Linked DNA regions of Rattus norvegicus. The protein of the gene in region 1 interacts with the protein of each later gene in a pairwise test. Links are inferred from orthologs where the notes say so. Each region holds a gene or a part of one and is shown in the gene's direction. Other genes may lie near its edges.

Region 1 (4,275 bases):
TGTAGCCGACCATACTTTATATAGCTTTTTCGCCCTCAGAAAACAGCTTAAGTACTCTGTTCTTCCAACAGCCACATTGAAACATTTATTTCTTTTATCATCCAGAAAAGTCCAGGCTGTGAGGTTTTCTTGTACACACTGCAGCCATGAGCATTAAGTTCTAATGGGCATGACTCCCAAGTGATGGGGGAAGAGAGGAAAGCATCAATGTGGAGAAGGAAGGCACCTTTCTTTTCTCTTCTTCCTTTTTTTTTTTTAGATTTATTCATTTATTATATATAAGTACACTATAGCTGTCTTCAGGTATTCCAGAAGAGGGCATCGGATCTCTTTACAGATGGTTGTGAGCCACCATGTGGTTGCTGGGAATTGAACTCATGACCTCTGGAAGAGCAGTCGGGTGCTCTAAACCGCTGAGCCATCTCTCCAGCCCTCTTCTTCCTTTTTTTAAAGACAGCCTCATGACGGCAGACTGACAGCACTGTAGCTAAAGATGACCTTGAATTCCTGGTCTTCCTGGGATTACAGATGTGCTAGCATGCTGGGTCCTAAGGGTTTATGCTGATTGAACCTTGCCTGGGCTTTAAGCATGGTAGGCAACCACTGAGCCACATTATCAGATGAAAGGAACCTTCCCTAACCTTTAGTTAGGAAAGGAGGAGCTGTCTCAGCCCTGCTCTCTCTCCCAGTGCTTTCTTGGATTCCTGCTCTGGACCTCAGTTTTCCCATTAGCAAAACGAGCTTCCCTTTTCTAAAGCCTTGTTACTTGGGCTGCCTTGGGGGAGAGGGCCTCCCAGCAGCCTTCAGGGCTCCTCCTGAACCTTTCTGTCCCCAGACTACTCGCTGCTGCTCACCTTCATCTATGGCGGGCGCGTGGTGCATGAGATCCAGGTGCACAGCCTAGACTGTCGGCTTGTGGCTGAGCCCTCAGACCCGGAGAGCAGCATGGTGCAGCAGGTGGTGTTTCCCAGACCTGACCCACTGGAGCCCACCCAGAGCCTGCTGAATCAGCTCGAGAGAGGCATCCTGGTGGCCAGCAATTCCAGAGGCCTCTTTGTTCAGCGCCTCTGCCCCATCCCCATCTCCTGGAACGCACCCGAGGCCCCACCTGGGCCTGGGCCTCATCTGCTGCCCAGCAATAAGTGTGTGGAGCTCTTCAGTACCACATACTTCTGTAGAGGTAAGGGTGTCCCGGCTCGACCTCCCCTTCCTCGTTATCCTGTGCGCCCGGTGGGTTTCCCCACCACCCTCCCCAGCAGCTCATCCTCACTGCGTGGGACCCCTGCGTTGTGTGATACACATGTTCTGTAGCCATATTGTTCCACTCTGCAGACTTCCCCTAGCCAAGGCCACGGTAGATGAGGGTCAGCTGGAGTTGAGCTCTTAAGTGATACGTCTTGGGGAAGCAGCGTGGTTAAGTGAATTTGTACAGTTTAGTTTGCGTGGATTTTTAAGCCCTGTGACTCCTCAGACATTGGCAAACACAGCTCTGTGGAAGAGCCAAGACACCTTACCCACACTTGCCCCTCTCTCCCATCTCTCTGCCATATTGTAAGCATCTTCTAGGACTGTTCCTTCTCCCGTCCACTCTCGAGATTCCAGTCACAGCCTCTAAATGTGCGAGGAGGAGTGGAGAGAGGAACATTGAGGACAGAGTGCTGTCCTAGTATTGGGAGAGCAGGCAAGCAACCAAGGGGTTGGTAGGCAGGGCTGCTGCTTCTGAGGACTTCGAGCCTCTCAGCAGGAGCATCTGCTCCTGTGAACTGCAGGAAGGGGCTGCCTCTTCCTGCAGCAGCAGGGAGAACAGCTTAGTTCCTCGCAGCACCAAACCACAGTTTCTGCTGTGCCCTGGGTGCCGGAGTTACCCCATCCCAGTTTTCTCTGCGTTTGGCTCCCCAGGCAGTGTCACTTCACTCATGGCCCTCTATCTTTTTTGTTTTTGCTTTTGTGGCAAGTCCTCATACCACTCTGGGTGTCCTGGAACTCACTAAGTAGATCAGGCTGCCTCAAATGTGGTGACTCTGCCAACCTCAGCCTGACCAGCGTGCCTGGCCGCACACCACCATGCCTGACCTACTGCCATGCCTTGCCTTCTTCCTTCCAATCCTTGACCCTTTTTCTTTCAGATTTGGCCCAGTACTTCCAGGGCCAGGGACCTCTACCCAAGTACCAAGCAACACTGCATTTCTGGGACAGGAGTCCTAGCTCTAGCCATACCCAAGAGAATCTTATCACGGTGCGGGTAAGTTCAGCCCCGGGATGGAGCTCTGTGATGATTTGTCTCAGATAACTCCCTGAGGGAAGGGGCTGCAGGGTGGTGGCTGTCCCTACAGTGCTCACTGAGGCCGCTCCTCACTTCCTCCTGCACAGATGGAGCAGGCCTTTGCCCGAAATTTACTAGAGAAGATTCCAGAAGAGGAGAAAGCTGCCTTGTTCCTGGTACAGCACACAGAGCACCAACCTGCCACTCTCGCACTCTGATCCTCGGGTCCCCGTTGAAATAGACTTGTTCTCCACACCGTTGGTCTGCCTGCTTTCGTGATGATTCTTATCACTGTGGGCTTTCCAATGTGGCCAAGAGAAAGTGCAAGGATAACTTTTATCTTCAAAAACTATTCTGAGAGCCAGACTCGTTGGTGGATATTCATAATCTCAGCACTGGATTATGAGTTCAAGGACAACCTGGGGGAGACTTCTATTTCCTTTTTCTAAAGCTATATCTTCTTTCATTTCTAAGAAACTGGAAAGTTCCAAAGGGTGTGATCTCAGAGGAAATTTTGCTATCCTCCCAATCCCTAACTCTAAACCTAAGCTGTATGTATGTGTGTATGTATATATATAAATATATATTTCCCCCCTCAGTTCTCACTAGAATAAAATAAAATTTAGCTGGGTGAGGTAGTACACACTCGGCACATAGGAGTGTATGTGCAGAGGCAGGAAGATTGTGAGTTCAAATTCAAGGCCAGCCTTGGTGATACTGTCTGTCTCCAAACAGTAAATAAAAGCTTACTAAGAGAGAGAGATCAGGATCTGATTCGTTAGGAGAGGGTGGCAGGGGTTAAGATGGAGACCAAGGTACCCAGTATCTGGGTTCTCTGTCACATGGTGTTTCTGGGCCTAGCCAGAGTGCCATAGTCTCTAACCCATGGTGATTTCTCCTGCCCTAGCCTCCTGAGTGTTGGGGTTCTGGGTGTACACCACTATGCCTGGCCGTACCCCCATGTCTCCCTCCCTTTACTCTTTTTTCCAGTTGACCTTCCCGCCCCCCTTTTTTTTTCAGACTTGACCTGGTACTTCGAGGGTAAGGGGCCCCCACCCAAGTTACAGGCAACTGAGATTGGATTGGGGTCAACCTCTAAGACAGGCACTGTTGCCTACAGGCAGACAGCACTATAGCCACAAGGCGGTTTGAATGAGATTAGCCTCCATAGGCTCATATGTGAATTCTTGGTCCTCAGTGGACCCACCTGGGAAAGGTCAGGAGGTGTGGCGTTGGATGAGGTGTGTCAGTCACTAGCCATGGGCTTTGAGGTTTCCCTGCTAGCACACTCTCTGTGTCTCGTGCTTGTAAATCAGATGTAAGCTCTCAACCCCAGTACCATTCCTGGCTGCCTGCCTGCTGCTGTGTTCACTGCCGTTTTGGTCACGGACTCTAAGCCTTTAGAAATGTGAGCCCCAAATTAAACTTTGTCATTCCTAAGTTGCCTTGGTCATGGTATCTACTATAGCATTAAAAGGTAACTGAGGGAGCCGCCAACTTCATGTGGGACATTGTGGCTGCACAGTGTTTTGCTAGGGCTTCAGGAATGTGCCTGAATAGGGATGGTCCCCGGACTAGAAGTCTAGACCAGGAGGAGACACTGGAACTGTGGTCCAAACTTCCAGGACATAAGAGGGAAGGAAGCTTGAGGGAAGAGTTGCAGTGTCTGCTGTGTCTTCCTGTGTCTGCTGCTGCAGACATTGTGGGGACATGCTCGTCCTTGGTAACACTCAGTGTGACTGGCGGGCACTTCTAAACTGGATTCCTCTCTACTGAGCCCCACAAAAGGCAATCTGACCTAGGCCAGGCATGGTGGTTCGTGCCTATAATCACAGTACTTGGGAAGTGGAGGTAGGGGATCAGAATCAGGAGTCTGAGGGCTATCTGGGCTACCTGGGATCCTGACTCATTTGTTTGTTTGAGACAGAGCCTCACGGTGTAGCAGTGTCAGGCCCTGTCAGTCCTGGAACTCAGAATCTGCCTGCCTCTGACACCAGGCCAGCTTGACCCTG
Region 2 (2,571 bases), on another chromosome or scaffold:
ACTAAAGGTCCTTGACCCAAGCCCCATCTGGTTGGTGGCCGGCCCCCCTTTCTTCTTTCAGGAATCAGGCACTTGATCCTATTCAGACCTGTTAGTAACTGTCCTTGTTGCCAGCTCTGTGCCCACTTGTACTTCACAAACATCAGATAAGCCTCAGTCCCAGAAGTCTCTGGCTGCTGAGAACGTAAGCAGGGAGACAGTTTCGGTCCAAGACAGTTAGCACATGTATGGGGGGTAGAGACACTCAAGTGAGCCTATTTGAGCCCTTCCCATCCCTGCTGGATATCTGAGCCAACTCTGGGCATATGAGAACCCCCAGGACTTGTTGACAGTGGTTTTTGCTAGTTAACCCCTGTATGGATGTCTGGGGTGGGGTACCCTTGCCTTTCTTCTCCCAGCCCAGAGAGCGGCTGATGGATGAATTTATTCTCCTGGTCTGTAGGCCGATACAAAGCAGGGGAAAAAGAGCCAGATCCCAAGACTTGGAAGGCAAACTTCCGGTGTGCCATGAACTCCCTACCAGACATCGAGGAAGTGAAGGACCAGAGCAGGAACAAGGGCAGCTCTGCTGTACGCGTGTACCGGATGCTGCCACCCCTCACCAAGAACCAGAGGAAAGAGAGAAAGTCCAAGTCCAGCCGTGACACTAAGAGCAAAACCAAGAGGAAGGTGAGCTTGACTCTAAGCAGCCCAGCCTTAGGTAGGGGGGCAGTGGGTAAGTGCCACAGCAGGCCTAAGCTGTTTCCTCTCTGTAGCTGTGCGGAGATTCTAGCCCTGACACCTTATCTGACGGACTGAGCAGCTCTACTCTGCCTGATGACCACAGCAGTTACACAGCTCAGGGATACCTGGGTCAGGACTTGGACATGGACAGGGACATTACCCCAGGTGAGGTCGCCACTGTGGCAAGGGCGCTTTTAGGTTCCACCCAAGAGGCATCGTGGGAACAGAGAAGAGTGTGGGGCATAATCATGGGACTCTGTCAGGGAAGCGTGCAGGGTGGAGGGGCTCAGGTATTGCAAACTAAGAGAGCACGCCCGTCCTGACTTGCACCTTCTCCCAGCTCTGTCACCGTGCGTCGTCAGCAGCAGTCTCTCTGAGTGGCATATGCAGATGGACATCATGCCAGACAGCACCACTGATCTGTACAACTTGCAGGTGTCGCCCATGCCCTCCACCTCTGAAGGTTTGTACTCTTAGGGACTGGCCTGCCTCATGTGCGTCTTGAGGGGGAATAGAGTCTGCCTAGAAATCTATGTGCCAAGCTGGGCATTGGCACCCACCTTTAATTCCAGCATTAGGAGGCCAGCCTTGTCTACATAGTGAGTTCTAGAACAGCTAGGCCTTCACAGAGAAACCACTGTGGGGTGGAGGTGAAGAAACCTATGTGCCTTTGAGCCAATGGAGCCGGGCACTGCTTACCCTATCCCCATAGCAAGAAAGCAAGTTCCTGAGACACAAAACCGTTCAGAGCTTTCATGTGCTCAAGGCCAAGAGGGAGGGAATTGGGCCACATCTTGGTCAAAGGTGGCTAGTGCTCCTGGCTTCCCCGCACTCAGTTGTCTGAGGGTGAGGAAGGAAGTGAAGGGGTGGGATGCGGCCTTGCTCTGTAGTTGGGGAGGGTGAGTCATCAAGCCAGTGTCCTGTTCTGGAATCTCCAGGGCAGGCAGATGCTGGTTGGGAGGCTTGGGGAGGTGGCGGGGAGCTGCAGGGCAAACATTCATGGCCAACCTCTTGTCCCTCCTCACAGCTGCAACAGATGAGGATGAGGAAGGGAAGTTACCTGAGGACATCATGAAGGTAAATCCCTTTGCATATTGCATCCGGGAAGAGAAGGCAAGCTAGGGACAGCTTGCAAGTCACTTAGGGCAGGTGCTGTAATCTGGCTACCTATGCAGTTCCGCAAGTGCCCCTACTTCATGTGTTGGGGGAACTGTTGCCTCAGCAGGTGAGAAGCCTAGTCTCTAACAGGCCATGCTCCAGCAAGCCTCAGGGTCCCAGACAGCTCTGAGTCAGCACCCCCCTGAGCACTGTGTCCTCCGCCCCAGCATACCCAGCCCGTCAGGTTTGGGTAATGCACATCAGGTTTCAATAATCAGCTTTTGGGATCTGTACTAGGATGGCTTTAGGAAAAATAAATAAAACCCTCTGGTTTTTGTTTTTGTTTTTTTTTTCTTAGCAAGTTCTAAATGGTGGTTTACTTTTTCAGCTGCAGTTTTCTAAGTGACCATTAAAGATTCTGAGGTAGTTTTAGCTCGAGTCTGGCCCTTGAGCACCGAACTTTGAGATGTGGATCCATCCAGGTCCTTGTCTCCGTCTTTCCTGGCTTGTTATGCTAACCTTTGCTTTAAGCTGCCTGCCAGTTGCCATGTCCTTCCCAGCAGAGGGAAATCATGCAGATTCTGTGCCAGAGGGTGGAGGCGAGATGAGAGGGATGGTGACACACAGGAGGGGCCAGCAGGGCCCAGGTAGCTTCGTGCTCCCTTACTCTTAGGCCTTGTCTTGACAGTTCTGCCTGTTGTTACCCATAAACAGTCAAAGTTGTGATCCTGCCTGGGAAGGGTTAGGTCC

The links.
Region 2: the proteins of Irf9 (region 1) and Irf1 interact in a two-hybrid assay, tested with the Homo sapiens proteins (2 studies listed by BioGRID and IntAct). The link is inferred for Rattus norvegicus from reciprocal best matches to the Homo sapiens genes IRF9 and IRF1.

What each region holds. Positions count from the first base shown.
Region 1 is NC_086033.1:33,068,179-33,072,453, forward strand, and holds the end of Irf9 (interferon regulatory factor 9), read left to right. Parts: intron 1-835; coding exon 836-1,180; intron 1,181-2,126; coding exon 2,127-2,242; intron 2,243-2,370; coding exon 2,371-2,481; 3' UTR 2,482-3,703; downstream 3,704-4,275.
Region 2 is NC_086028.1:38,420,919-38,423,489, forward strand, and holds part of Irf1 (interferon regulatory factor 1), read left to right. Parts: intron 1-442; coding exon 443-669; intron 670-755; coding exon 756-888; intron 889-1,063; coding exon 1,064-1,186; intron 1,187-1,750; coding exon 1,751-1,800; intron 1,801-2,571. UniProt on the Homo sapiens protein: Transcriptional regulator which displays a remarkable functional diversity in the regulation of cellular responses.